Alligator mississippiensis: one gene and its partners. The main gene of each other region encodes a partner of the protein of the gene in region 3 in a complex. Links are inferred from orthologs where the notes say so. Each region holds a gene or a part of one and is shown on either strand. Other genes may lie near its edges. The genes, in order: ARPC1B, ARPC3, ARPC2 and ARPC5.

Region 1 (7,873 bases), on a different chromosome or scaffold from region 3:
CAATTATTTTTAAGTGAGTTGCAAAGGGAGAAAAAGGGGAGATTTTTGCCTCCTCCTTTCTTTTTGATGCTTCAAGATGATTTGAGAAGTTTAAAAAAAAAAAAAAAAAGCAGCATGGGGAAGAGGTTGTTTTATTATTTTTAGCCTGGAAATACCAAGTGTTTTCTTCCATTGTTTGTGAAAGAACGTACTGGACCGTTTGCTTTTGAGCCGTGAATTGAAGGGCTGGGCACTGAATAGTTTGAGGGAGAGTGCGAGAGCACATGTGCCCCCACATGTTTCATTCCAGCTGTTGTTAGAGAACAACTATTAAATCGCTGTTAATAAGCTGCACAACAATAAGGTTTACACAACTTAAATAATCTCATCCTGCCTTCATTTATGTTTCCCTTGCATTGGCAGTGCATTTTACAGCCCCCCTGGCTCTCCCCGTCCTCCTTTGAGCACACAAGATCTCAAGCTGCATGTAACATGAGAAAGAAGTAGGGACCATATAACCAAAACTGAGCTTTCCAGCCACCTCTGCATACAACAAAGCAGCAGAAAATAATGGGCCTACGCAATGATTTCCCCGTGGGTGGGCACCTTTACCTCTGAACTACCATTGAACTAGCTGGTCCCATTCACTGCTGAAGCTGCTTCATTACAGCCCTCGAACCAGCAGATCTTGGCTCTCTCCAGCAGAAAGCCACGGAAGTTTACAACCTTTGCGTGCTGGGGAATGCCAAGAGGAGTGGATCTCCAGAGCTGATATGGCTCAGATATCTTCCTCTGGAACTCCTTTTCTGGTCAGGCTTGAGGCCCTCACTGATTAAAAAACATCCTGGGAGAGAGAATAGCACCGGCTGGAGCAGAGCAGCTGGCAACGCCTGATCTAGGCTGAGGAAGTTGCTCAATGGAAGGAGCCTCCATGCGTTTGCTGTGTGCGGGGCTGGAGTCCGTCACAGTGCAAGTGCTGGATCTGCACCCCTGCACTGCCACCTCCCCTGGAGCGGGTGTCCTGGCTCTGCAGGAAGTCGTGGTCAGCACATAGGAGCGTCAGATACTATTTTACCTTCCCTGCCCCCATGCTGAGCAGTGAGGTCTGTCCTGCCCCCCACTCAATAGCTCATTCACCTGTGGGCAGCTATAACAGGGGGATGGATAGAGGCTATGTTGGAGTAGGTAGAAGCCACGATCTCTCCAGTCCTTATCAACACTGCCCTTTAAATTGGCAGGGGCAGTTGCTGCTAAGTACCTAAAGGCGGGGGTAAGCCTGCTTCCTCTGACAGACTGCTTCAGTCGTGGGACAGAAAACCCAAGGCTGAGAATCAGACCTCAAATCCATCCCAGAGGCTCCTGTCCCAGTCCAGGGTTGGGACACCGCACTGCAGGTCTCTGCCGGACTCCTGCTGCCCGGGCTGGAGAAGGCAGAGCTGCTCCCCATAGCGCTCCCCTACATTCACAGCACGTCTGGCCTGGACACTGCCATAAAGATATTATACCCCAGGGATCACCTAAGGAGGTGATCAGTCCTTTTCTGAGGTGGGGGGAATACATAGAAAACTTTAAGGCCCACATCCCAAAAAGGGACTCAGGTCCAAACTCCCATTAAGGAGTGACACTTAAGTGACAGGGGAGATTGGAGACAATCATGTTTGCCTAGGATTAGAGTTCACTTAGTCCCTTAGCAAGAAGGTGCCCATGACTTAAGTGCCCCCATAATACATCAGCAGGGTGAGGAGCCAGGACGGGGGGCAGGGGAAGACACTTGGTTGGGTGAAAATGGCTCAGGAGTCTCAAGCTTCCTCTTCCTTACCCCAAATGACTGACCAAAGTCATTCCCCCTCCCCGGGCTCCCGGCTCTGGGGCTGCCTGCTCCAGCACAGCTCATCCTGAGGAAACCTGCCACAAAGAAGAGCTTTCTGCCTGGCTGATGGCTTGTACTTCCCAAAGCAAATCCTGCTGTGCTTGTGCTCAGCAGCAAACCCAGACTCACAAAGCCCACTGCCCAGCAGATCAGCATGTTGCCCACCAGCCCACCTGCGTCAGCTGCTAAGGGAGCATACAGGTCAGAGCTCATACCCTGCACCTGCATCCCAGATGGCTCGTGACCCCCTAACACGCCTAGCATTCAAAGAGGAATCGGTCCAGTCCTTTTGGACAAAGCCGGAGCACCCTGAGCTTGGGGGCAGAGACCTTCCTGCATCAAAAGGCAGTGCCAGGATCAAAAGGGAAAGCCAAAGAGGGGAAGAAAAAAGCCAGTCGGGGCTCCGGTTCTCCTCTCACCTACAGCAGGGCCTAAAGCAGAAGTAACTCTGCGAGTTCGACAACGTGATGCCGGCCCCAGGCAGCAAGCGGGCTGAGGGCGCAGGGAGGGGGCCCAGATAAAAACCTGGGAGCGGGAGCCAGGAGACGGGGTGTGTCATGCCTCACGCCGTTTGCACTCGTCTCCGGGGAAGCTCAGCTCGGGACCCTTCCACATCAGCTGAGCTTTCAGGCCTCCCACAAAACTAACACAGCCTGTGAGAACCGGGGGGTGCAGGGGGAAAATCAGCCCTGAGGAGCAATGGCTGCAAAGCAGAAGGGGACAAGCCAGTATCAGGCAGGAAGTTTGTTCCCAGCCCAGCACTGCTCCTGTATTAAGCAAATACACGGAACAAAGATTTTGTTCTTCTTCTGGGGGCACCACCCCAGGGGTCGAATGTGCTGCCAGCAGCTCCGCTAGAGGCACCGGCTTCCTACTCCCTTGGAAAAGAAAAAAAAAAAAAATCAAACCCTGACAACTCACCTTCACAGGGAGAGGAGGAAGGTGGGGGGGAAGGGGTCCTGTCTCCAGGGGCCAGCTGGTTCGCGGACTCTGGGCAGTCGACACGAACGGCAGCTGAGCCAGCTCCGAATGAAAGGCAGAAGTTGAGCTCGCTGTCTGAAGTCGTCCCACTTCCCTTTTCCTCTCTGAGAAATCTAACCACTTCCTTGCGTGGGCGTTGGGGAACGGCAGCGAGCAGCACAGGCTGCCTCCAGCAGCAGCAGCAACCGCCTCTGAAAGGCTGGGTCTGTGCGCGCGAGCCCTGGCCCTGCTTTCCAGGCCCGTCTGCGAGGCTTGGCGGCCGACACGTGGAAATGCTAGAACCTGGAAAAGGAAAGGCTTCCCTTGCTACAGCTTGGGAGATGCCCCTGTAACTCAGGGTCCACATCTGGCCAAAACCTGCTGGATCGGAGGGGGACCTGGATTCAGACGGAGACTGGAAGACCGAAGGGCTGGGGCAGAGAACGGCAGACGGATGACAAAGAAAGGATTTGTCCTCTTCTCTCTGCAGTGCTCATGAGCTGGCAGGGAGCAAGAGGGAGGTAAGTGGACATGAGCATCCAGAACTACTGGGTTCCCGGCTTTGCCAAGGGACATGGGTTAAAGGCCCCAGCAGAGCGGGGCCTGACTCCCCCTCACTGCCACCAGCAGCTCCAGCAAAGTCAGGGGTGTTATGCTGGTGTAAGACTGGTGTGAGTGAGATCAAAATCAGGCTTCTCCACAGGGGCATCACCCTCCTCGTGCTCTCCCAGCCTGGAAGGGGAGCTGGGACACTGGTAAAACACAGCTACATTATGTAAGGTCTAGAGTCATGGAGGAATTAACCCTCAGCCTGGGGCCTGAGCCAGGGACACAAGACAAGTGGCTTGTGTTCCTCTCAGCTTTTTCGGGACAGCGCAGCCCCAGCACTGCTTAAGGCAGCCGTGAGGGCTATCCCACCTTGGCATCCAGCAGCCATGACCTCTCCAGCCCTTGGGACACCAGAAGAGTCAGCGTGTAGGGTCAGTACAGGCTTGGCCTGCTCTGCAGCAGCCCCAGGCTGGTGGCAGGGGGGTGGAGGGGAAGGGGAAGTTGTGGAGAAACAATTCTCAAGAAGTATCTTTTGGTCTCTTCTGATGCTGTGGTGTAAAGTAGCCACAGGACAAAAGCAACCCCGACCTCCTCCCCTGCTGCTTTTAGGCTATAATTGGCATGCAAAGTCACTAAAAGTCATGCACACACCCCCACCCCACCACCTCCAGCAGCCACTTGCCCCGACCAGAGCTCTACACCCCTCTGCAACAGTCATTACAAGGAGTGAAAGCAGCATAGGAAACAGCTTCCTCCGATGCTCCAACCCCTGGCAGTGCCAGCCCAGGAACCCTGGAATCCCGAACTCGGGTCTCTGGAGGAAACAGCTTGCAGTTGTGCTCCACATCTGGAGCAAGATTAGCAGACGTTGGCTCTAACTTTTTAAAGGGATGCTCTCAATTTGCGCATTTTGAAGCCAACCAGCTGAAAGAGCAGTGTACTCGGGCAGTCTGCTCTTTTAAGGATGGTTGAGGCCTACAGTTCCTTCCAAGCCCCCCTTCATTAGCATATAATGGATTTAAAATAGCTTTCATCATAATACAGGAGGGGATTCCTCTGACCCCACCTCCCTTCCTCCTTAAATTGTCTCTTCTTTCCTTCTTAAATTGTCTAGCAAGTGAAAAGCCACCAGAGTGTGATCAAAGGCACAAAATAATACACTGACAGGATTTTCTGCTCACTCCTACAACATGCATTACCAAAGCAGTCACCACCAAAGTGTCCACAGCCAACCTGTGTAATGCTGTATAGCACTGGTTGGTTTTCAACCTTTTTTCATTTGCAGAACCCTAAAAAATTTCAAATAGAGGTGCGGACCCCTTTGAATTGTAAGTGTAGGTATTTACATACTTTTGATTGATCAGTCATCTTAATGGACCCCTTTGACGGGGCTCGCAGACCCCCAAGGGTCCATGGATCACAGGCTGAAAAGCACTGCCAAGTATTAATTGCCAGGGGCACTGCCAGAGGGGGGATGAACATGCTGAAATGATGGTATGGATGTCCTACCAGTGTCCTGACTGCTTCCCCATTTCATTCATCTTCGCCCCCTCCAGCAGAATCCCAGCTGAACCCAATAGCACAGTGCCTGCAAGAGGCTCGGAGCACTGCAGCAGCCTAAGCTGGGGGGACACCACCACAGCAGCCCCCACAATGGGATGGCTCCAAGACTAGCCTGGCAGCAGGCCTCCCTGTTTCAGATGCACATAACTGACCTGGCTACATGGGCTGGGAGAGTACAAAACTTTCCTAGACGTGCTGGCAGCTGCCCCACTCCTCACCACCTGATTTGATTCGTAATGCACGACCACCCAGGCCAACAGATACTTCAAGACCGAGAGCTGTAGTTCACCTGATGTTTCATGTCCTCAAACCTCACGCTGTCCTGCTGGTAGCTAGAAGCTGCTGTACCTCAGCTGTGCTGCTTTGAGCTGTTGTCTGGGGAGCCCTGCCCTGAACACGGCTATCCGTAAGCTGAGTCCCTTTCCTTGCAACCAGAGCATCTCGGGCTACAGGAATAGTGCAGCTAATCACCAGTCACGGGGGACCTGAGAAAGAAAGCAGGTTTATTCCAGCACCAGACAAGAAGGCTCTCCCCTATATGCCCGTGTTTAAGAAAACCCATCTGCCTGTAACATTTCAGCATGTTTCGGTGCTGCACGGTCATGGCTGAGAACAAATGACAGGTCAGCTTCATTTCTGCAGCAAGGAACCCCTCTCTCAAAGTAGCAGAGCTAAGAATATCACCCTGCACAGTTCCCTATCTGCTATTGCACTTCCTCATTGCTTCTGATCATGACTGGGTTCCTGCTATGCTTCTTCAGCTCTTTTGCAACTCACAAGGACAGAAAACAGGCACTGCCGCATATGCACGGTTCCTGGAACAACCTAGTGTTTCTCCAGGGTACCGTGGCGCTGTCTAACTTGCAGGAGAGTAAGTGGGGGTTGCTAGCAGAAGGGATAGGTACCAGGGCTCCTGGGGTCTAGTCCCAGTTCTGCCATTGAATCACTGCGTGCACCTTGGCCAAACTACTTAGGCTGGTCTGGCTCCGCTCCCTCAGCCCAGCCTAACCCCAGTAAAATGGAGCGTGAATGTTGTTCCCATAGTAGGGCTCGCACCTCAATTATACAGGACAAGCTACAAGTATCACACGTGCACTGTGCTGTTTGCTTCCAGAGGCAGCATCGGCAATCCTCAACACCACCCCGATTCCTTCCCTCTTCACGTGCCTAGCGGTGGTTACAATCAGGCAGGGCCAATTTGGTGGCTCTAAATGCCTAAACTTCAATGGGGACTTCTACAGAGCTTAATACAATGCTCAGAGGAAGGCTCAGACCCCTGCAGCCTGTTCAGCCCCAAACAGATGATCAAGCCTGAGCTATGACATCCATCATCTGGTTGCACCTTGAGATACCTTTACTCTTGCTTCTACTGTAGTTGTGCTTGAGGCCCAAGACTTCTTTGTTCTAGATAAGAAAATAGAACAGACTGCCCAGGCCCAACAAAAGCTCCCAACATAATGAGATGTTTGGGCATGTAGCCAGGATGCCTGAAGAGCAGGCAGGAAAAGGTTCAGGCCAGGAGAAAGCAATATATGAAAAGTTTCAGAAGAGAGGGTGATGGACAGGAGCCTATGAAGGATGAGGACAGGAAAAGAAGATCCACCTAAGCTGGAAGCCCACTTAGAAAGCAAGAGCACAATGAAAATGATCAGAATCTAAAATCATGGGCTCAATTTTAAGTTGTCATACCCACTTGGCTCCATCCTCCGTTTTCAACACGCTGTAGTTCAAAGCCCTGTAATTTGATCAGCTGAATGCACAAGGCCCAGCCAGCACTACAGCTCCTTCAGAGACCAAGAGCTCTTTCACAGAGTTGCTACAGGCAAAATCATAACGAACCCAAAGCACTTTCCATTATAGCTGCAACAAATGAGTTACACGTGCAGGGAAAAGAGCCACTTGTTGAAAGTGGCTCAGCCGTTTTGCTTCAGGCCTTATCGTAGCCTGCCTGGCACTCATGCCCGTGCATAACGCAAGCAAGGGGAGATTGATTTACTGAAGGAAGTATCACAGGATGTGGGGTGAGCAAATTAGGAGCATGAAGTCAAGATCAGGCTGCCCGTTCTGACAGCTCTGGACTCTTGCAGGAAGCAAGATGAAGGCTGTCTGCTCCTGATACTTGGCCCAACTGTATAACTGACTTGTGTAGTGGAAAGCAAATTGGATTTGAAATTACATTCTGCGTGGCCGTATTAATCCCTACTGCAAGGAATCTCACGGAGATCCAAGTGAAAGGGGCTCACGGCAGGTCACACACATCACTCAACTCACCTGACGTTCCACAGCCAACTGGCAGAGCTTTCTATTCCCCAGTTTCAGGAAGGTATTCACCAAGTAACAGCTTGAAATGCTGCAATTTCTCTGTGTCTGTTTATGCTCCTTGTGGATCCAGTTCCAGCTCAGGAAGTCACGCAGACAACCGAGCAGGATGCACACATAACCAGCTGACAATAAACCCGCTGCAGCAGTATAGTCTTACAGCCAGGGTGGGGTGTAGGACAATAAGCTGATAAGATTGCTTGTTCCTTTATAAGTGGAGCTTGTTCAACAGGGGCACTGCTTTCTAGCTTTCCACTGTGCCTTCAGAGAATCTCTTCACACCCTTTCATCTGTGCCATCTATTTCTGAACCCTGGTGTCTGCTACAGCTTTTAGGAAATGAGGGATAACACTTCCAGCAGCATCCAATGGGCTTGGGAAATTAAATCTCATTTTGCTCCACAGACACTTAAGCTTCTAAATCACCAGAACACTTTTGAAAATGTGACCCAAGGTGACCAGGGGTGTGGCGTGTGCTCTTCCTACAACCTAACTGCTGAAACTTCCTTAGCCTGATGAAGGGTTATCGAACCCAAAAGCTTGCTTAATAATTGTTTTCCAACTATTTAAGTTGGTCTAATAAAAGATATCAGATTCACCCAAAGAACCTTGTCTACCCAGGGTGACCAGCATC
Region 2 (7,348 bases), on a different chromosome or scaffold from region 3:
CTGAGGAGTTTCCTCACCCAACTTCTTTTAGAAAGGAAAACAATTGTTTCTTTGCATTTTTACCATACACAAAAAGATATAAACTCTCAAGGGGGTCACAAGTGCTGCAGTGAAACAGTTCTATGTTTAAGTCAAGTCCCAGCCTCCACAAATGTGCACAATACCTTAAAGGTACATTTCTTACCTTAATTTCATAATTTTTGAAGAAGACATTTGCTTTGAAGTAGTAGATTGCTTCATCAATAATATCTGTGTCCTTTGCTAACAAGAAAGAGAGGGAAAGTTAACCAAGATGCAGGTGTACAGGACTGGCCGAGATGCACAGTAAAAATTCCACTGTTTCTTTTCACTAGTCTGTAGAAAAATAAAATCCTTACGAAATATGATGCTACAGATAACTTATCCCAGTTCTCAGCAAAGATTTGATAGCAGCGGTAGTGCTGTGGTCATGCCCCATATGACTAACGTGCCTTTATTTGCACGAAGGAGCACAGGCTACAGCCACTCACCACTTGAACAGCAATGAGTTCAAGCTTTGTACTTGCCCAAGTAAAGCAAGCAGCTTTGTTTTGTCCATTTTTGCCGTGATTGCTCGGTAATTCCCAATGGGTCTTTCAGTCGTTAGTGAGAAATAACAACAAGTCTACTATCATTACAAGAGGATGTTGGTTATAGCTATCATTATAATGCCCTCTGAGATCAGGTCTAAGGGAGGAGGGGAAGAAAAAGACTAATTTAAAATTAATCAGGAGAAACATAATCCTTCACCTTCCTCATTTAAAAAAAAAAAAAAGAGAGAGAGAGAGAGATAACAAGCAAGCTCATAACATTAGATCCAGCAGGCTTTGGGTTTCACCAGTTGACACAAACCACCTAGATCTAGAGGTTGGTCCCTTTCAGCATTGAAATGGTATAATGCTGTGGAGCAGTTGTGGAAAACAGAGACACAAGATAATGAAACAGCATTAAAACAAGCACTAAATAAAGCCTTCCCTGTGGTTTTTGAACAATTTTATCTAGACACCACCACTTCCGGGTTCTCAGTTCTACTTTGAAGGAAGTTACAACTACAGGGCCTGCCTCCCCCATTTCTCACTGTACAGAGCAGCAGAGGCACTCTTCAGCGTTGCTGCTTTTTTAGCTGAAGACTATGCTAATTTTTCACCCTCTTAATCTAAGATGCATTTCTCTAACACGACACATGCCACTCATCAGCTACCTAGTGAAAACCACACCCGAGAGGCCACAGCAAAACTTGTCCTCCTGCACGACACAGCAAACCTAGCTTGAAATGAATGAGAAGCTTAAAATACATTTTAAAAAGCAAAGCAATTAGAGAACCGAGAGCTGGATCTCCTTGGAGACCGTAAGCTTTGGGTCTTTGAAGGCATGAAGAGAGAAGACAAACCAAAATGGTTTGAGCATTTAAAAGACAGATGAGGAAGTCACTGCGTTCACTATTAATCTAGACCGAGAGGCCCCACTCAGTCAGGGCGACCACAAAGTTTGTTTCTACCACATTATTCATGCTGCCTGTGCAGCACACCTTGTTCCTTGCCGTCTACATCTACTGCAAGCTCCCTGGGACTGTGAATTCTGCATTTAAGCACCGCCTGGCAAAAATGGGGCTCATCTCAGCTGATCCCTAGACCCCACTGGAATAAGCAAGCGACATTCTCCCCCTCACGCCCTGATGCTACTCATGGTATAAAAAATACGCAGTTGTGGCCCCTGTCCCAGGGAGCTGGAAGGCCCCAATCCACCAACTGATCTGTGGAGGCAGAACCGTGTGCCTATCCAGACCCGTTAACACAGACGGGATTTCACATGGATCTGCCCACACAGATCTAGTTACAGCAGCAGAGCCCTGCCATCACCAGACACACAGACAGCCTGACAGAAGCCAGGCTGCAGCCAGATTTTGACCTGTAATTCCTAGAGGCAAGAAGTGGGCCTGAACAAAGACAGAGGGAAAGGAAGCAGCCATTCACGGGGAAAGGAACAACCCACGACTGCGGGGGGGAGGGGGGGTTTGCAGAAGAGTTAAAGCAAGGGGACGGTACGGGGAGACAACGCTCGAGCTGACAGCTAGACGTGAACGGGAGCTAAAAAGAGAAGTCAGATGAGCTAGCTCGCTGGTTGGAAAAGGACAGACTGGATCACCACCAACACACTGGCCCACGTTCACGTGTAGGGGGGTCATCGGCACAGTTCTGCTCCTGTTGTCCGCACACAGCGTGCGCCAAACCCAGGCATTCAAAGCTCATCTCAGTTTGCAAAGCAGCGGTCTGCTCCCTCGGCAGCTCCTGGCATCGATGAGGTTTCTTGCTGGCTTACGAGGCGCCTTGAAGGAGGCTACCAAGCGCAGCACCCATAAATGACGCAAGTCTCCGTGATCTCTCCTGGGTCGCAACCAGCCTGGAAAGGCTTTGCCCGGCGGCGGTTCCCCAGGCCGCCGAGCTTTTCCAGAGCCCTCAGCCAGCCCCACCTCCCACAAGAGGCTCGCCTTAAACCGACGCAGAGCGAGAGAAAGCAAGGGGCCGCCGCCGACCCCGCCGCAGCGCAGCGAGGGTCCAGCAGCACCGGGGGGAGAGGACGGCCGGCTTCTAGCCGCCTCTTGGGGGGCGCAAGCCCGGCTGCTCCCCGAAAGCCTGCGCTGCCAACCCGAGCAGGCCCGACACCTACTTTCCCGGGGCGCCGGTCCCTTGAACTGGCTGCGGATGGGCAGCAGGGCCATGTTGCCCACCAGCTTGGTGTCCGGGTCCATCAGCGTGGAGTGGTAGGCCTGCGGAGAGAGGCAGAAGCCGGGTGTGGCGGCGGCGGCAGGAGAGCCCGAGCCCGAGCCCCAGCCCCAGCCCCAGCCCGCCGGGGGTGGGAGCACCCGCGGCCCCCTCCCCGCACTTACCGGCATGGCGGGGACGCGGCGCTCGGAAGCAGGAAGTGCCGCGCCTGGAGGGCGGCCGTTTCCGGCCCCGCCCCGGAAGGGCGAGGGCGGATGCAAGCCCCGCCCCGTGGGCGGAGCCAGCCCAGGAGCGCGGGAGCCGGCGCGTGGGGGAGACCAGCGAAGGCTTGGGGCAGTCGAACAGAAAGAAGACAAGCAGGGTCCTCGGCTCTCCACAGCCAGAGAGACGAGCCTGATGTAGAGAGAGCCCTCATCTTCCACATCTAGGAATATAGTTCAATAATAATTACATTCAAAAAAAAAGTCTGGGTGAGACCTGGAAGCAGAGGGGCTGTTGGCCTGGCGGGAAGGGAAGGAGCGCGCTCTGGCCTGGCGTGGGTGCTGCGCCTGGGATGTGTCCACGCAGAAACCGTGGTTTAGTTTGTGTTTCTAGACAGCATCATGCTGCCGCCCTGAAGGCAGCCCCGGCTCTGGTGCCCGCACCTCCAACAGGAGGGGGAAGAAAATATTCATCGACGAGCGGAGATTTAACTTCTTCACGTTCCTGCCAGAAAGGAAACTAAGGGTTGCAACGGTGTCCGAATCCATCCTGGGAAGTTATCAGCACACCAACATGGACATGCCCGTGTCCTTGCATTTACAGTGCATAGACTTCATATTGGAAAGGCAAATGCACATTTATATTACATTTTTAAAAAACCCATTGGACTGCTGTATAATTCAAATTCAACATTTACTGTTTATTTGAATGAATGCCTTATCATTTCTCTCCTGGCTGACTCTCAGCAGTTTGTCTCCTGGAGATTTGTATCTAATTCCTGGAGACTCCAGGGCAATCCTGCAGGGTTGGCAACCCTAGGAAGAACTAGAGAAGGACAACAAGGATAATGAGCAGAAATGGAGGGGCTGCCTTTGAGGCCAGGCCTGCTCCACTTAGGAAAGAGGCTTGAGGGGGGCCAGGAGAAGGGTTTACAAACTACCACATGGAGAAGAGGAAGTGAATAGGGATTTCTCAGACTCCATCACCTGACAAGACATGGGGGTCACAACATGAAACAAGGTGGAAGTCGGTTTAAAACAAACACACATGTTCTTTTTTACACAGCGTGGAATTGAAGCGTACGCTCATGGCCACCAGATGTGGAAAGTGATAGTCTAGCTGAATTCAAGAAGGAACTGGACACGTGCTTCAAAGGAAGGGGCACTGGCACTGTTGCGCACGGCAGTGAGGGGCATGGCCTCTAAGCAGACCTTTCTGGGTCTTCAGTGCTGGAGATTGCAAGAGAGGAACAGAGGAAAAAACCTGGCTCAGACCCAGTTCAGTCTCTCTTCCAGCACCCACTCTCTGCCCCCGTGCAGCACAGGAGACTGGGCAAGACAGACCTATGGTCTGACCTGTTGTTTGCAGCTCCTATGTACTTAATCATTAATGTTAATATTCCATGCTTGTGGAAACACCATCCATCACGACATTGTGCAGTAGTCACCAGTATGGAAGAGGCGACCCAAGAATGATCCTACAGAAGCTGGAGAGGCTTGATGGGCGCAGTGGCCGGGGCATACAGAACCTGCATACAGGAAAGATGCACGGCCCATTTCTACACACTATGAAACTCTTAAGTCACTTTTAACCTGAGCAGTCACTGAGTCTAGGCCACAGGGATAAAGTCTGCTGCATACTTACATCTTTTTAGGATAAGGCCCTGAGATCTTATTTCTGTGCAAAGGCTCTGGAGGATCTGTTACACAAGGTTAATACAAACACCAACAACTTAAGAATTTTTATAGGGAGAATGATATGCTATAGTTTACCTTATTGGCTACTGACTTCCGGTCTACAAAGCACACCGTCTGCAGCTGGGATGATTAAATTATTTGAACAACGCAGTTTACCTTTTGGCAAATAAATTGTTTTATGCCGATTCTTCCCTCTATCATTTCAACTGTTAGTGGAAAGTTACTTTAAGCATTACCTTATTGGAGGGTGAGGGAAAGGCTGCCCAAAAGTGTTAGCATTACATACAGCTAAATTCAGCAGCTCCTATTCAAGTAGCATATGCATTGAGATCCATAGTCCTCTAAGGATTAGTCTGATCCTTAATGCATGAGGGAACATGTTAGAAGGACCACTATATACATAGAATAGGTCACTGGCTGGATTAAGCAATTTAAAAGTGACTTATAAAGGTCCCCTGTATGGATTTTAAACAAACACCAACTGCTACTCTATTCCTCATCCCCTGTTAAGATATGCCCCCGAAGTCTGAAAATAAGGGTGAAAACCTGGTCCACCAAGCTTCACAGCACAACTGCCATTATGAACACCCACTGTCCTATCCAGTTCTTTCCTTCCTCTCCCTAATGCACCTGACACTGGCAGAGCTGATTTTATCTAGCGCCTCATATTATATACAGATTCAAACATGCAATTCTAGCCTTCTTCCTACAACCTCCCTTAGTGAAGTGCAATGCATCGAGATGATATAAAGCAGGGGTGCCCAACCTGCAGCATGTACCACAAATGGCATGGGAGCCACTGTCTGTGGCACGCAACAGATCAGGGAGGAAGCAGGGAACACAGTGGCAGATGGGGCAGGGAGCAGAAAGTAGAGCAACAGGTCAGACAAGGGAAAGGGATTGGGGCGGCATCCAGGGAGGATGCAGAGCTCACTTTTTGGCAGATGTATCACAAAGGTTGGTCCCCACCCAAAAAAAGATGATCGACATGAATCTGAGGTGACTGAATTACTCACAAGTGGGAGAGCCACAAATGAGTTATGCAAGTCTTTCCAAACAAGCATCCCTGTCTCTCACCTGCTGGGCTCTACACAGTGCACGGGGCCCAGCTGGACAAAGGGTTTGAAAGCAGGGGGAAACCTGACTGTGATCCAGCAATCAGTGATGTGATCTGAAGCTCTAATGTTACACCCCAGGTAAAAAGTGTGAAGCCTAAATAACGTAATAGTATCCCTAAAAACATACCAGATAAGACTTATAGCTGTGTTAAAATGTGCAGAAAATTGAAATCTGAACATGAACAGCCGTAGTCTTACAAAACAGGTAGTTAAAAGGAGAAACAGCTATCACTATTTTTCCTGTACAAACTATATATTGTACACAACAGTATCATTATTCAAGGAATGAAATTTAGGACATCCCAAAAAAATCTTTTTGCACATCTACATATTTTACAGAACGCTACGGTCTCCTGCAGGAAATACTGCTTGCAACTTTCGGAACGGCTCCATAAATTTAAAATATCAAGTCAACTTTTTAAGCCAGATTTCTCTTGCAGAGAACTTACCATTAACTAGGGAATTTCAGAACATCTGGAAGATAGAGGAACACTGTCAAGTTGCCTAAATCTAAAATGTAGATTGTTTAAAAGAATAAAACTGGTGATGAATTAATAATATTCCATGGACCAACCGGCACCTGGTATAACCAGGGACAGCAATGTTGACTTCAACAGTTACATCTATTCATGCAAGATAGACTGATCACCAGACTCCTATTAGCTTCAATATTTTCATGATGTTTATTAAAAAAATGTTATTGGGGAATTAAATGCTTCCCTAAACTGCAACCCAAGAGCACTCAACTGATTTACGACAAGCTGAAGACTGAGAGAGACAACTCCATTCTAAGTTGTCTAAATGTAGCGAAATACAAGCATTGAACCAAAGGCAGAAATGGTTAAACCAATTATATTTTTTCATCCCTTGGTACAAGTAATTAGTTGGCTTGATAGAAGCTATTAAAAAAAGTCTATGTTTTTTTATTTTGACAGTGCTCCTTTACAACCACTATACTTTTCAAACAATTCAAGATTCTGTAAGAATGTTATTTATGCCAAAATATGTACATGCAAAAATGAAAACTACTTATTGATGTAATGATGTGGAAGATAAAGGATTAATTTCCAGCAGATTTACAAAAGTTTTCCACCACATATTTATATATTTAAAAAATAGTCTTACAAATATATTCTGAGATATATTTTTAACTTATATTTTACAACCAGGCGATTCAACTCCTCTTTTCAAATGCACTCTCTCTACTCGTCCACTTGATCTTGAAAATATTCATCAACAAGAGAAGATTTAACTTCTTCACAATCCTGCCAGAAAGGAAATAAAGAAGTTAACATTCAGTTCCATTTCCTTCTGTCGCTGCAGTAAATCCTCTGTTCCATGACATTTTTCCTGCAGTAGGAATGAATGCACTAACACAGTTCCACACCCCCACATTATAAGGAGCACTGAAAAGCAATTTGGTTTCAACAGTCAGCCTAGAAACACCTTGGTGCTAGTTACCATGGATCCAAATCTAAATTCAGGGATTCTATGTATTCAAAGAGTGCGGAGCAAATGGGTTTTTCTTTTGAGCGGAATAAGGTGGTAGGAAGTATTTGTTCTGAATAACAATGCAACTAGATATGGCTTT
Region 3 (7,872 bases):
ACTGCTCTGGTCAAATTAATTTACATGAAAATGAGTCTGTCCGTAGCTGTGGATGTGGTACCTGCTAGCAGACACTGACAGCCCTTTTGCAGAGTCTGAACCCAGCTGCTTAGCCAGCATCTTCTTCCTGTTCAGCAGTTTGATCCTCTGAAGCTTTGGCAGGAAAAGCACAGCTTGAGGTTTCCCCTTAGTTTAAACGATCTTAAATTATGTCGAATTGAGGCCTTTTACCCCAGGCTGTCAAAGCCTATTTTAAATATAGGTTTTAAATAAAAAGCCATTGATTTTGGTCTTCTTCCTACCCAATGCTGACGATAGCTCTGGCTGCACATTCGTTAGGGTTGCCAATGAAATGACGAGTCCTTCATTTCCATCTCTTAAGTTAAAAAGGCTCTTGATAGTGCATCCATCAGCAGGCTAATATGTCTTCTCCTGGACGGCTGGGACTCAGGGCATGCTCAGAGTGGACTATCAAGAGCTGTTTTCAATCACCAGCTCTCGTGACCTGAGCGAGAGACAGGAGGAGTTCAGCTCTGGCCTGCAGGCAACACGTGGAAGCAGACCAGAGATGGATGAAGGGCAGTCATAAGCAAAGGCTTCACTCCCCCGGGGGAAGAGAGGACGCTTTTAGGGGAGATGTTTCAGGCCATCTCTGCTGATAGGACGTTGCTCATCTAAGATCGCAGAGGTGCTCCCAGAGACACTCCCAGTGTAATAATGGCACCTAGGCGGCATATAGGAGACCTCGCAGGCGAACGACTCTGCTTGCCAGCTTTTCCATGACATCTCATGCGGATGCTCAGCACACAGAGCGAGCTCACACTGGGTGGGATTTCGGCAGTCTGCTCCACCACCGCATCACAAAGGGCAAAGATGCCTTTCACCTAGGGCTCCCCAAGCACTTGACAGCCCAGATACCCTCTCCAGTTTATGGCTGGCAACACACGGGTTAAATGATGCACCAACGTCACAAAGCGAGTCGGTGACAACGAATCTGGGATGTAGATCCTCGCCTCCCAGTCTGCACTTCGACCCCGAGACCCAGCTGTTGCAGAGGCTGATGGCAAATTCACGTCTGTCCACTGCTAATGCATCAAATAGGGAATACATGCGGTCTGCTGCATAGCGAGAGAGGATTCAGGATGCCTGTGCTCTTTTCCTTGATCATCACGGCCCCCTCATTTTGCCCCTATCCAGACTACCCTGCAACTGTCCCCTAGAAATGCCTTGATCAAACAGCTGAAATAACAGAATAAAAAATTGGCTGGAGGGCCACACCCAGAGCGTGGTGGTTGATGGGTCGCATTCGACCTGGAGGGCTGTGGGCAGTGGGGTCACCCAGGGCTCGGTCCTCGGGCCCGCGCTGTTCAACATCTTCATCAGAGACTTGGACGAGGGGGTGAAAAGCACCTTGTTCAAATTCACAGACAACACTAAGATGTGGGGGGATGTGGACACGCTAGAAGGGAGGAATAGGCTGCAATCGGACCTAGACGGGTTACAGGGGTGGGTGGATGAGAACAGGATGGGTTTCAACACTGACAAGTGCAAGGTGCTGCACCTGGGGAGGAAGAACCAGCAGCAGACCTAGAGGCTGGGAACTCCCCTCTCGTCAGTGCAGAGGCAGGAAAGGATCTTCATTATTGATGCCAAAATGAACATGGACCGACAGTGCGGGGACACGGTCAGGAAGGCCAACCGCACCTTGTCGTGCATCCACAGATGCATCTCGAGCAGGTCCAAGGAGGTGATCCTCCCCCTCTACGCGACACTGGTCAGGCCGCAGCTGGAGTACTGCGTCCAGTTCTGGGCACCGCACGTCAGGAGGGATGTGGGCAGCATGGAGAGGGTCCAGAGGAGGCCACCCGCATGATCAGGGGGCAGCAGGACAGGCCCTACGAGGAGAGGCGACAGGACCTGAACCTGTTCAGCCTCCACAAGAGAAGGCTGAGGGGGATCTGGTGGCCATTTACAAACTGGCCAGGGGGGACCAGCAGGCATTGGGGGAGTCCCTGTTCCCCCGAGCACTACTGGGGGTAACAAGGAATAATGGCTACAAGTTGACAGAGAGCAGATTCAGACTAGACATCAGGAGGCGCGACTTCACCGTCAGGGCGGCCAGGATCTGGAACCAGCTTCCAAGGGAAGTGGTGCTGGCTGCTGCCCTGGGGGGCTTCAAGAGGAGGCTGGACGAACACCTCGCCGGGGCTGTCTGACCCCAGCGCTGTTTCCTGCCAGGGCAGGGGGTCGGACCGGACGATGTGCATCGACCCGACCGACGACGAACTCTGAAAGAAAGACACTCTGCTATCTCCGCGGTCCCCTGCCCAGAACCAGCTGCTTGGTTTCCAACGTTTGGCGTTTCAGGGACGGCAAGAGACCTCCTGTCCTTGCTGCACAAGGCCTACACCATGAGACCGGCGTCTCCCTACACCCTTCGCCCGGGGCCTGCCTACACAGGAGCGTCTTGGTATCAGCTAGAGAAAAAGAAGAAATGCAGAAGTGACAACTTCCTCCCCAGGCGGCGGCGGCGGCGGCAGCGGCGGCTCCACCAAGACGGCGCAGAACCGACGCGGGGTTTTCTGTTTCGGAGCTAGACGTCTGCGTGCAGACAAGAGGCCGAGGGATCGCAACCGGGACGGACCGGACCGGCGCCGTGCGGACGCGGACCAGCCTCGGGCGGAGCCGGTCGCTGACCCCAACCCCCAACTAGTGGTGCGACCCTCAACCCCTCCCCTCGCCTCACTCCTGCCCCTCCCCCACCCAGCGCAGCCCCTCCCCCACCTCAGCCCCTCCCTCTCACCCGGCGGCCGCGCCGTCGAGCTTGAGCGCGAGCGTCTCCTCGATGATGCGGTTGTTGACCTCGAGCAGGATCATGGCGGCGGTCCGGCGCCCGGTGTGGGGGGGGGGGGTCGGACGGCGGCCGGGAGGGGTCTGTCAGGCGCCGGAGCCCACTGCACGCGCTGCGGGGCCGCCCGAGCTCTGCGCCGCTTCCGCTTCCGCTTCCTCGCCCCCGCCCCCGCCACTCGTCACTTCCGGGAGGCGGCGAGGAGGCGGAAGTGGGCAGGAGAAGGGCGGGCGGGCGCGGGCCGCGGGGAGGTTGTGCGCATGCGCACCAGAGACGCCTTCCTTGGCCCTGCAGAGCATCCACGTGTGCAAGGGAACTGCACGGGTTCCGCAAGGGTGTGCGTGGGATGCACGTGTGCGCGGGCATGGGGTTTGCACGCGTGCCAGAGATCCTCACACGTGCAAGGCATCTGTAGGTGTGCATGAGATCCGTGCACGGCTGTGGGATCCTGACGTGTGCCCGGGATTGGTACTGTTACCTGGGATCCGCATGGGTGCGCAGGTGCTATCCATGTGTCTGGGATCCATGTGTGCCCGGGATCCGCATGTGTGCCCGGGATCCACACGTGTGCACAGGTGCTATCCGTGTGCCCAGGATCTGCATGTGTGCATGGGATGGACCCGTGTGCACAGGTTCTATCCATGTGCCTGGGATCTGCACGTGTGCATGGGACGGACCCATGTGCCTGGGATGGACCCGTGTGCACAGGTGCTATCCATGTGCCCGGGATCTGCATGTGTGCATGGGACTGACCCGTGTGCCTGGGATCGACCCGTGTGCACAGGTGCTATCCATGTGCCCGGGATCTGCATGTGTGCATGGGACTGACCCGTGTGCCTGGGATCGACCCGTGTGCACAGGTGCTATCCATATGCCCGGGATCTGCATGTGTGCATGGGACTGACCCGTGTGCCTGGGATCGACCCGTGTGCACAGGTGCTATCCATGTGCCCGGGATCTGCATGTGTGCATGGGACTGACCCGTGTGCCTGGGATCGACCCGTGTGCACAGGTGCTATCCATATGCCCGGGATCTGCATGTGTGCATGGGACTGACCCGTGTGCCTGGGATCGACCCGTGTGCACAGGTGCTATCCATGTGCCCGGGATCTGCATGTGTGCATGGGACTGACCCGTGTGCCTGGGATCGACCCGTGTGCACAGGTGCTATCCATATGCCCGGGATCTGCATGTGTGCATGGGACTGACCCATGTGCCTGGGATGGACCCGTGTGCACAGGTGCTATCCATGTGCCTGGGATCTGCATGTGTGCATGGGACTGACCCATGTGCCTGGGATGGACCCGTGTGCACAGGTGCTATCCATGTGCCTGGGATCTGCATGTGTGCATGGGACGGACCCATGTGCCTGGGATGGACCCGTGTGCACAGGTGCTATCCATGTGCCCGGGATCTGCATGTGTGCATGGGACTGACCCGTGTGCCTGGGATCGACCCGTGTGCACAGGTGCTATCCATATGCCCGGGATCTGCATGTGTGCATGGGACTGACCCGTGTGCCTGGGATCGACCCGTGTGCACAGGTGCTATCCATATGCCCGGGATCTGCATGTGTGCATGGGACTGACCCGTGTGCCTGGGATCGACCCGTGTGCACAGGTGCTATCCATGTGCCTGGGATCTGCATGTGTGCATGGGACGGACCCATGTGCCTGGGATGGACCCGTGTGCACAGGTGCTATCCATGTGCCCGGGATCTGCATGTGTGCATGGGACTGACCCGTGTGCCTGGGATCGACCCGTGTGCACAGGTGCTATCCATATGCCCGGGATCTGCATGTGTGCATGGGACTGACCCGTGTGCCTGGGATCGACCCGTGTGCACAGGTGCTATCCATATGCCCGGGATCTGCATGTGTGCATGGGACTGACCCGTGTGCCTGGGATCGACCCGTGTGCACAGGTGCTATCCATGTGCCCGGGATCTGCATGTGTGCATGGGACTGACCCGTGTGCCTGGGATCGACCCGTGTGCACAGGTGCTATCCATATGCCCGGGATCTGCATGTGTGCATGGGACTGACCCATGTGCCTGGGATCGACCCGTGTGCACAGGTGCTATCCATGTGCCTGGGATCTGCATGTGTGCATGGGACGGACCCATGTGCCTGGGATGGACCCGTGTGCACAGGTGCTATCCATGTGCCCGGGATCCGTCTACCACCTGCAAGAGCCTCTCTGGCTGCTGGCTGCGGGCAGGGAGCAGGCACGTGCTGGTGCCGCCTGCGCCGCTGTGCAGTTTCCGGGGCTCGGTGTCGGTGCGCTGGCAGGAGGCAGCACAACCCAAGGACCCCATCTTCGTCGTCCTGTCGTCATCTCCAAGGCTCCCTCCTCCCAGCTGAGGGGGAAGCCCATGACAAGCCCTCCAGGCGCTGCGCTATCCTGCCGCCTGGCTGGAGGGTGCCGGCTGCTCCGGTGAGGAAGTCACTAATGAAAGTCAAACATGTCTGTTTTTGCAGGGGTCTCGCTGGAAAGCTGCCCAGACTTAAGTGTGAGCGCGTGACACCTGTGTAAGAATGAATCCCCAGGAAGCCATAGAGAAAAAAACCCAATTGCAATGCCACATTTCTAAAAGAGGTGGCAAAAGTTACACCCCCCCGACCAAAGCAAAAGGTGAGACTTGCAGCAGCAGCAAGGCAGAGCGCTGGAGATCCCGAGAGATGCCTTGACGAAGAAGGGCCGCGTGCTGATGGAGACGCCGCAGGGCCTGATTTGCTGTGGTATCAATGAGCCCAAGGTGTGGATGGAGCGGTACGCCGTCCTGACGGAGCAGCAGGTGAGAGACCTCATCTCCGTGCTGGAGGAAGCCAAGTTCATGGGAGATCCTTCCAGTAAGGAGCTTTATGCTTTATCTAGAATCTGAAGACAAATCCATTTATCTGGGGCCACAATTCTGGGAGACTCCGAGTCACCTTGAGGGAGATTCCCAGCCGGGGACTTCAATCCACGAGGCCTCTCGCCTCCTGGGCACGTGGGACATCCCCTACCAGTCAGTCAGCTCCTATGTTGCCTGCAGGGGGGTGATGGTGAAAAACAAGGCAAAAAACTGAAACAAGTCAAAATTTCATTGTCTAGTGACTGCGATGCTAAATGCTGAGTATGAGTTTGAGCTGACCCTACGGCACTGGGGAGACTACTGATGCCAAAACCTCGAGCAGGGGCGGGGAGCAGATGCCAAAACCTCGAGCAGATGCAAGCAGGGGAGATGCTCCAGCTGTGGGGAGACGGCGAGGAGCTCCGTCTGCAAGAGCGCCGTGCCTGACGAGCTCTTTGCTTGTCTGAACAACCGGAGGTGAGTAACGTCTGTCTCTAGCAGACGCCCTTGAGCGGGGGTTTCCCTGGGAGACCTGGTGCCTGCAGGGCCCAGCGCCATTGCAGGACGTGCCTGCTTCTTTCCATGCCTGGGCACTGGTCAAACGGGGGACGTGCCCAGCTAAAACTTCAGCCAGCAGCCCCAGCCCACGGCCGCCCCCTCCCCACCGCTATCTCTTCTGACGCGGTTCAAACATTGGTATCACTGATTTGCAACAGCAAGTGCAAGCAGCATAGGCAGGGCCTAGGCTGAATGCTCCCTGGGAGGCAGCAGCCTCATCAATGGGCATGTGGAGGGTGCCAGGGACCCCTGCAAGCTGGACCGGGGCAGGTGAAGGGAGCTCAGGGCACCTGAGCCAAAAAAAGGTTGAGGTGACGGTCACAGCATCAGAGGGGCCTGCAGAAGGGTGGGCGCGTAGTGGGATCACCATGGAAGGCGACAGGAGCGTTAACACTTTAGACCTATGAAATAATTTCCCCCTTTTCTTTTTTCTCCTTTAATGAATTATTAAGGAGGAGCACTGATAAAATGCTGAGGAAGAAGTTGCTGCCGGCCCAGGACAGGCTGCAGCAGCATGTAGTGGCACTTGGGGTAATAGCTGATGCTGTGGACGAGGTTCACAGAGAAGCCACGATAGCAAATGTTGCTGGAGGGAGAGCGGGCATCACGGGCAGGATCACCCACATTGTGGCGCGCTGCATTGTCCCCGAGACCTTTGTTGTATGTCTGATGCTCTCCAGCAGACAGCTTGTCATCTATATAGTAGGCAGTGCGATGGGTGCAGCAGTGACTGCCTCCGACATATCACTGGAGAGTCAAGCCAAGAAGGGGGAGAGAAGCAGGATCCAGACAAAGGTCAGGCTGTGCTGAAGCAAATCCAGAAGTGCATAAAACAGCTCTCTAACGAACAACAGGATTCAGAAAGCAATTTTGATCATGATCTGCTGCTTATGATCCTGCAAATTGGGTCAGCAGCAAGGTGGACCGCTCTCAACACCATGAAGATGTTCAAAGGTGGAAAGCGGCTGAGTAATGCCGGCTACGTTGCAAGATTCGCAGGAGCTAACGTGTGTCCTGATAACCCTGAAAACCTGATCCGTCTTCTGTGTAGTCAAGAACTTCAAAGATGCCAAAAGAGAGCTGACATCTGAGATCCGAGAGACAGCCGCTGAACTGGAGCGAGTGATTTACCAAGCCAACTACACGTATGAGGCACTGATTGGAAAGAAACTCAAGACGACGCAACACTGCTGCTGGGTGCTGGCACCGGTGAGGTTGCAGCCCTGCACCTTGTGCCCCACCATCGGCACAGAAAGCTGGGGGGCATGTGCCCCCCCATGCATCACATACGGCGAGAGACCAGAACCAAACCGTGAGGAATAATAATGGGCCTGAGCATCCATCTCCAACGGCTGCAGCTAGCGTTAAAGGGACTCAGGACCTCACCCAACAATGTGCGTATGACTAGCGAGAACATGCAGACAGTGCCCGTCCTGCAGGCCTCGGACATGGGCAGTATCTGAAAGGCCACGATGGTAAGAAATCCTCCCTTCCAGCAGTGTATCTTGCCCCGGGACATCAATCCCAGCTAACTGGCACCTTCCCAGTCCAGAGGAAACCTGGTTCAGGCCCTTTCACAAACATCAGTGAAACCAAGAAATGTGACTTAAACCCATCCAAAACACTTCTT
Region 4 (7,647 bases), on a different chromosome or scaffold from region 3:
AGTACCAAATATTCCCATTAGAAATTAAATTGCACCTCTATACTATCCAAAGGTTAACAAAAGGAAATGAGATATGCGTATTTTGTCAGATATGAAAGCAGCAGCAAGAAGGCAAGCTGAGAGAGACAGATGCTACCCACAGGGCAGCGACAACATTTGGTTCTTTTGGTCTTTGTACCAGCATTTCCCACACCAATAGCAGACAGCCACTTGTTGCTGGACTTAAACCGTTTTTCTGGCAGTCAAGACACGGACAATGGACCCTACACCTCCAGCAGCAAGAGCCTGAAAAAATAGAGAAATAACACTAAATAAGAGCCAAGGTAAACTCAAACTGGAACAATTAACTGCTAAAAGTATTTGGAACTTTCACAGCGCATTTCCTCTCAGCATCTTCAAGTGCTTTTAGGAACACTAAACTAGCAGCACTGTGAAATATAGAAGTATTACTACATTTATTTTACAGATGGGGAAGTTGCACTGATAAAAGAGAGCTTGCTTTTGCAAGCTCTTATTTCTTTAAGAGCCAGTGGTGGAGGAGGGGCGTCAAAACTTCTGCATTCCATTCCCATTTAAACCTTCTGCTTTAATCTTTACGGTTGACTACTTCATCACCTTCATAGTCTCATTGAATGCCATCAAACATCAGCTCTAAAGGCTATATTCAAAGATATGTAGTACGTTTGTGTATGATTCACACTTTTCCAAGTAGAACCTTGTCTTTCCTGATGTCATACAGACAGTAGTATTTCAGGAGGAAGAAACAGTGGTTGTTATTGGCCTCAACAAAAAGACCAAGTCCTAGATACAAGGGTGTCCACTAATGTGAATTACCAGACCACCAGGACTCTTCTCCTATAAACATACCTTTTCATGCCACTGCAACAACACTGCACTGCTGTTGTCAGAGGGGCTTTCAAAGCCCTTGTAGATGTATTTCATTAGCAGGTCGACTCCATTCTTGTCTAGAGACTGTACTGCCTTCTCAATATCGTTGGCTTTGAAAGAGATGAGCACCTTCAAGACAATGCTTTCTGCCCGATCCTGTAAAGAAGTGAAGGAAAAAAAGGTCACTACTGGGAGCCAAACCCATCCATACTCATATGGCATGTGCCCAAATGTTAAAGATCTCTTCAAACCAGGAGGTACAACATTCCATTTTCAACTACTGAAAAACGCATTTAAGACAGCTGAAACACAAAGCTGCGAATCATACTATATAACAGATACATACAACAGAAGAACATTAGCTCAGCTGGCTTTGCCACATATCTACAATTCTAAATGAACCTAAAGATAAGTAATACAAATTTAGCTTTAAGAGTACTCAAGTTACTTAAACTTGGTCTTATCAGTTGATTATAAGAAAGCCAAAAATGTTATTATGGATCCAGTCTCAAAACAAACCAAGTGAAGACAGCAACAGGTTTGTCTTCTTCTGGGTTTTCTGTCTGTTCTTCAAGTTCTGCTTCTGTTTGCTGAGGCTACAAAACTGCCTGTGAGGTCATCTTTGTGGTAATGTCTGTATTCTCAAGTCTTTCATAAATTCACATGGCTGACTGTGAGGGGAAAAAATTCCTTTTCAATTGATTGGGGAATCTGGTACAGCCAATGAACTCCAATTTAAAATGACAGAGGAGTAGACGTCTACTTTAAACAGAGCAGTGGGCAGTGGTATAATCTGAATGATTTCTATACCTACCGCACATCTGTCGCCTTTGCATTAGGTATCTGCAAGGGATCACTATCCACTCAATTTGCTTTGGGGAGCCTTTTGGCAGCCAAACAGTAGGAGCATATGATATATTCAAAGCACTGTCCAATGTGGGAGTGCTGACATTTGCAGTCTACACTGGAAGGGAGAGTTGTTGACTATATGCAGCGGCCGATCAATTTGTACTACTCTTTGGTAAGATTAGGCTTGCAGAAAATAGCTTAGCTAAGAGGGCAGCATGTAAATAAGCTGTACATGCACAGAGAGAGAGGAGGGAGGGAGGGAGATGGACGGTGGGGGAGGTATTAGAGCATTAGGGTGAGGATTCACAAGCAAGCATGAGGGTGAATGGCTGTTTCCTGCTTCACCTTCACTGCCTGGCTCTTGGTGTTGATGGGCGGGTTTTTCAGCGCAGCCTGCAGTGCAGCCATCATGTTCCCTGTGAACACAGGTTAAGGCAAAGAGGGGAAACAAGCACCTGGAAAGCAGCAGTTGACCCCAAGGCATGAATAACCTGCTCCCCGCACAACCCTCCGCTGGAGGATCTCTGAGGCGGCATCAAGCGCAGGGGAGGTTATGGGGGCTTCCGGTGAGGCAGCCAGCGGACACAGCTTCTGGGAGCTGAGGGGCTGGCCCATTGCTGCTACACTCAAGACTTGGGCATCTGGAAATTTCTAGGAGCCTCGGTAGGGCCGTCTGCCCAAAGGGCAGCGAGCACCAAGGCTGGTGTGTTCCTCTGCGCCCTACACTGGCACCAGCTCCCCTCAGGGCCATAGGGAGGGGGGGAGGGGAGGCAGAGGCGGCTCTGTGGCTAAACCCCCACTTCCGGCAGGGCCACGCCACCTCCATCGCCATGGAGACGGGGGAGGAGCCGAGGGCCGCGGCCCCGCCCCTTGCAGCCGTTTTCCCCATAAAAGGCGAGGACCGCGCACGACCCCGCCCCCGCGAAGCGCGCCCCCTCCCTGCCCCCGCCAGGCCCGCGGCTCCTTGCCGGGCGCCGAAGGATATTGTCGCAGGCACGAGTCCACCTCGCCCTCGTCCGGCCCGGCCTGGCCGTCGCCGCCGTCCTCCTCGTCCACGAACTTGTTCTCGTCGTACTCGTCCACGTCCACGCGGCGGAACCGCGCCGACGACACCGTGTTCTTCGCCATCGCCCTGCCCTGGCCCCTGCCCCGAGCCCTGTCGCGGCTGCGCCGCTCGCTCCGTTCCTGCAGGGCGGTGCCGGCGTCCCGCGCCGCCACTTCCTGCCGCCGCTTCCGCCTCGCACTTCCGCGCACGCGCTGTAGCGATGCGCCCTCCTCTGCCTCCAGCTCCTTCGGTGCGCGTGCGCAAAGAGAAGGCCTTGTCCCGGAACCGTCGGGGTTCGAGGGCCGTTGGCGGTTGGGCGGTGCCAGGCCCGGCCCCGCCCCGCCCCTCCCGCGCCTGAGGCGAAACCATGGGGTGGGGTCTAGCCTCGTCCCGCCCCCTGAGCTCTGGCCGCCGTGCGGGGCGCGCAGGAGGGAGCTCTGGCAAAGCGGGAGGTCGTCAGCCGAGTCCCCTGTGGGGAAGACCTGGGGGGCGCCGGTTAGCGGGCGTCTCAGCAGCCGCTTTTACATCGCTACGTGAGTGGTCTACACCCTTTTTAGGGTGAAGATCACTTTTTGAAGTAAAGGGGCAACCCAGGATCTGCCTGCCATACCCCCACCCAGCAGGCCACTTCATGGGGGAGGGGTGGGGAGCTGATGGAGGGAGGGAGTGGGGCAGGGGTGAGGGGGGCCCTGGCCTGGCTGAGTGATGTGAGGGATGCAGCCGGGATACTCATCATGGCGCGTGGTGGGGGCTCCTGCTGCTGCACACACCCCAGCAGAGGCCCAGGGGCATGTGCCCCCCCCCCAGTCTGTGTGTTGTCCCCAAAGGACAGTGAGTTCGTGCCCGGTGCACTTGTGCCAATAAACACACAGGGGTGAAGGATCCAACTTAATCTTTATTTCTGCGCAGAAAGTGGTGCTTGGCAATCGTTCGCAAAGCAAGCACACCCACCCGAGTGGGCATTAGCCTTATATAGCCTCTTCTAGCCTTACACGCTATGCAGTTACTATAGGTTGCCCCTTTTAGTCCATGCGCACTTCACCCTAGCTACAGACCCTTCCCTAGTCAGTTTGAACTTGCCTTCGTGACAGTGTAATTTGCTGATGTGGCACCTGTTATTCAGCAAGCTCAGCCAGTAACCCCCCTTTCCAACCCCTCAGGGACCTTGCTGATATGGCTTTCCCTCTAGCAAGGCCAGCAATTAAGCAACTAGGCAACAAGCGATCTCCCCCAGCCTAAACAACCTACTCTATGCCCTTGGTTAGATAAAATACTTTTTCAAAACATACAGCTGTTCCCAAAGTATAAAAAAAACCTATAAAAGTTTCAGGGGTACTCATCATGTGCAGGGCAGAGGTGGCTGCGCGTTGGGAGTGTGGGGCACCAGCAGGGCTGGGGTGGGAGGGGGCTGTGGTCTGAAGTGCAGGGCGGGCACCAGCAGGGGCTGCGGATCCAGAGCGAGAGGTACTAGCAGGTGGGGCAGGGCACAGGCATATCACTGCCCCTGCCATCTAATGTGCCCCTCTCTTCCCCCGCCTTGTCCCCTGCCCGTGGGATGCATGCAGTGCTGTGCCAGTCGGCCCATCCAGGGCTGTGCTGGGGGGGCTTTAGTGATGGGAGCACCCACACGCATCCCTGGATGAGCTGATCTGCCCAGCACCTGCCCTGGGAGTGGCCCAGTGTCGCCCATGCCCTGCCACTGGGCCAAGCCCCACCCACCCAGTGGTGGGAAGCCTGCAGTACATTCATTGCCCAGCCAAGAATTTGTGCAGGAACATACAACGTTCAAGGAAGCTCGGTGCTTCATTTGCAGAGAGTGTCAGGGAAATCATGCTCCGTTTCTCCAACCCTTATCAGAGCTCTGTCCCTGACTTTAAATATTCCAAAACTTTCCAGCCAGAAAGTGAGCTGTCTTCAACATTTTCTTCATGGTGATTTACAATATGATTAAAGAGATGCTATTGAGTTTAAAGAACAAAAATCCACATCTATTTGCAGAAGAGATTCATGACAATTAGAGCATTTTTTCTAATTCATGTAATTTATACATTTATTGTGTTTACTCTTTGCACATCTCCCAGCTTAGAGAAGGAAGTCAAATTTTTGTTTATTTGCAATCATTTTTGCTTTGGGGTGTTATGACTAATGAAAGCTACAAGGGAATGTTTGCCTAATTTCTGGTGTGGCAGTACCCCTCAGACAGTGTAGCATTCTGATTAGTGAACAGTTTCTGGTGGTTACCCTATAAATATGCTTTTTAAGGGCTCTTTTCAGTCCAAGTTTGCCTGTAAAATGCAAGGCCTTTGTCTAAACATGTCTAGGAGTGCAGGCTGCCCCCTTTTTTGAAGAGATCTTCATCTCTGATGCAAGTAATGGTGACTTCTAGTGTTCCACAGCCAGCTAAGCCAGCTCCTCCCTCATATATCATTGCCACATGGGGCTCCTGGAGGTAAATTGGGGAAAGCACCACCCAGTTATTCAGAAGCCTGGGAATAAGAATCTTGACTACTTCTTTCCAGAGTTTGTTCTGTTCTGTGTTTCTCTGGCTTAAAATACAAAGGTGGAGATTTCTTTTCACGTTTGCCACCCCTCCCATCTGCCCTGTGTTTTTCTTCTCTCTTGCTTCATTTTGAGAAATAGGAAGGGGCCAGCTAGCTCCATAAGCCATTGTCATGGCAGAAGCCAGCTAGTGGAATGAAGAGTGTTGAAGTAGACAGGGATTATAAGGATTTCCACCCATCTGGGAGTGAGGGACTCCTAAAAAGTAACTGAAGAGTATGCAGTATCAGACAAATGCTAAGATGGGGAAAGGTTCTCAACTGGCCAAGAGTGGGAAAGTGGGACTGGGGAAGTGTTAACTTGGCATTTATTTGTCATTGTGGAAATCAAATAACGGGTTGTACAAAATGGCAGTGTTTCGTTTCGATTTGATTTGCCATTTCGAAGGGACAATGTTTTGTTTCGCTGTTCCGTTTCGTTTTGCCAAAACTGTTTCACTGTTTCAGATGAAAAGGGGGCAGAGGGAGAGTTCTAAATTCCCCTCCCCCCCAAACTTAGATGCAGTCTCTTTCCAACAACTAGCAGCCATGCCGCTTCTGCTGCTAGTGCACCAAGGAGATGGGAGCAGTGTCTGCATCCCCTCCAATAACACCTGCCATAATAACAACAACCCCGAGTATTGGGCTGTAGCTCATTTAAACCCTACTTCTCTGTGGGTTAGGAGAACTCTGTGATTAACCACCGGCACTCGTTCGATAAACAGTCAGAAACTTTATTGACTACAAAACATCTACTAAGCACAAAGCTATTCATCAACTGGGGATGCCAGAATACGAGTAGTCAATTTTACTGGGATTGCCAGAATATAAGCAGACAGTTACCAAAAACTGCATGCGCTATCGTGACCCTTCACTACTTCACAATCTGTCTAGAGCTGTTACAGAAGAGTTACTTCCCTCATGCAGCCATTCTGGGAAAGCTTCCTGGGTTACGCTGTTGTTCCAAGTCCGAAGGCTTGGTTCTCCTTTAGAGATCCATGCAGGTGTCTCCCTCAGAAATCCATACAACGAACAGTGAACAGCAAACGCTAACTTTACCTGCTTAGGCTGTTTAACCCTTTAGTGATGTCACCATTATTAATGCTAGCCAAGCTTGTTATATAATATTTTGGCTCATAGATCCTAAGAATACAATAGCACATCCTTGCACCTTGAGAATATTTTCCTGTTTTTTTTCCCATCCCCAAATTAATTACTCCCCAAAATTACCAGGTTATCATTTTATTTTAAGGTTCTATTGTTCCATTGTTTTAAATGTTCCATGTTCCCTGGCATTTTACTGGGGTTAACTTTAGGCCACAGTCACTGCCAATTTTGAGTCATCTCAAAAAGACTTCTGGGAGTTTGGTCGACTTCACATGAACAGATTCAATTTTCTTTGCAACACTGAGCACCACCACCATGACAGCAACAAGCAGCACCAGCATTGCAGTCTCCTCCAACCCAATTTTAATTTCCAGCCTGAGCCTTACAGTGCCAGAGGAAGAGCTGGAGCTGGAGCTGGATCTGAGTGCCATAGCAAGGGAAATGCTGGGGAAGGAGGGGGAATCATCTGAGTTTGTGCTCCACACCCCTCAAGTTTCCCCTAGAGCCAGGTCTCCTTCTCCAGAAGGCACTTTGGAAGAAGTTGAGGTAGAGGTTATGGAGTGTTACCAGATTTGCCCATTACTTCGGGGCGTGCTCATTTATTAAGGGTACGTTTCTAGGGTCTTGGCAATTCTGTCAATGTGCTGCTTGTGTTACTTGTGTTTCTATATGGAGCTGTATATCTCCCTTCTGCAAGTCCTCACCCCCAATGGAGCTATCTTGCAGGACTCAGTTTCAATGGGGCTGGGTTCCTCCAGTCACCAAATCAGTCATACTCACAAACACACACAGATTAACGTGACATGCCTGACCCGGCCGGGTTGATCAGCATGGACAGGCTGTGACACCCTCATATGCCAAGAATCAGTTCATCAGAGCAACAATAAACTGCAGTCAGACACAAGCACACAGGTAAACAGAATCCCTCTAAATCCAGCTGGGTGTCCAGCTGACACCCTCATGGGCCAGCATTCAGTTCATTAGGGCATGTCTGAGTCAAACTGGGTCAATCAGTCTATGCAAGCTGATCCCCTTATGTGTTTCAAACTTAGCACGTCCCAATCTTTAGCCTCTTGATGAGCAGAACCCACAGTATTTTGGGGCTTCACAGAGATCTTTAGCTTAGGTAAAAGAAGCGTTGCTGCAGAGCATGGGAGGAAGGAGAAGCAGAGAAGGAAAAATATACCCAGTTACTACCAGTTTGACTATAAAAGTTATTTA

Evidence for each region.
Region 1: ARPC2 (region 3) and ARPC1B share a complex: the UniProt entries of both Homo sapiens proteins name them as parts of the arp2/3 complex. The link is inferred for Alligator mississippiensis from reciprocal best matches to the Homo sapiens genes ARPC2 and ARPC1B.
Region 2: ARPC2 (region 3) and ARPC3 share a complex: the UniProt entries of both Homo sapiens proteins name them as parts of the arp2/3 complex. The link is inferred for Alligator mississippiensis from reciprocal best matches to the Homo sapiens genes ARPC2 and ARPC3.
Region 4: ARPC2 (region 3) and ARPC5 share a complex: the UniProt entries of both Homo sapiens proteins name them as parts of the arp2/3 complex. The link is inferred for Alligator mississippiensis from reciprocal best matches to the Homo sapiens genes ARPC2 and ARPC5.

The regions. Positions count from the first base shown.
Region 1 is NC_081836.1:53,629,549-53,637,421, reverse strand, and holds the start of ARPC1B (actin-related protein 2/3 complex subunit 1B), read right to left. Parts: upstream 3,003-7,873; 5' UTR 2,771-3,002; intron 1-2,770. UniProt on the Homo sapiens protein: Component of the Arp2/3 complex, a multiprotein complex that mediates actin polymerization upon stimulation by nucleation-promoting factor (NPF).
Region 2 is NC_081833.1:2,196,636-2,203,983, reverse strand, and holds the start of ARPC3 (actin-related protein 2/3 complex subunit 3), read right to left. Parts: upstream 3,002-7,348; 5' UTR 2,912-3,001; coding exon 2,906-2,911; intron 2,786-2,905; coding exon 2,686-2,785; intron 262-2,685; coding exon 185-261; intron 1-184. Other genes in the region: GPN3 (GPN-loop GTPase 3), read right to left, coding at 6,960-7,022. UniProt on the Homo sapiens protein: Component of the Arp2/3 complex, a multiprotein complex that mediates actin polymerization upon stimulation by nucleation-promoting factor (NPF).
Region 3 is NC_081827.1:253,618,885-253,626,756, reverse strand, and holds the start of ARPC2 (actin-related protein 2/3 complex subunit 2), read right to left. Parts: upstream 3,006-7,872; 5' UTR 2,878-3,005; coding exon 2,804-2,877; intron 1-2,803. UniProt on the Homo sapiens protein: Actin-binding component of the Arp2/3 complex, a multiprotein complex that mediates actin polymerization upon stimulation by nucleation-promoting factor (NPF).
Region 4 is NC_081828.1:54,673,327-54,680,973, forward strand, and holds the start of ARPC5 (actin-related protein 2/3 complex subunit 5), read right to left. Parts: upstream 3,010-7,647; 5' UTR 2,866-3,009; coding exon 2,722-2,865; intron 2,155-2,721; coding exon 2,083-2,154; intron 1,045-2,082; coding exon 868-1,044; intron 286-867; coding exon 223-285; 3' UTR 1-222. UniProt on the Homo sapiens protein: Component of the Arp2/3 complex, a multiprotein complex that mediates actin polymerization upon stimulation by nucleation-promoting factor (NPF).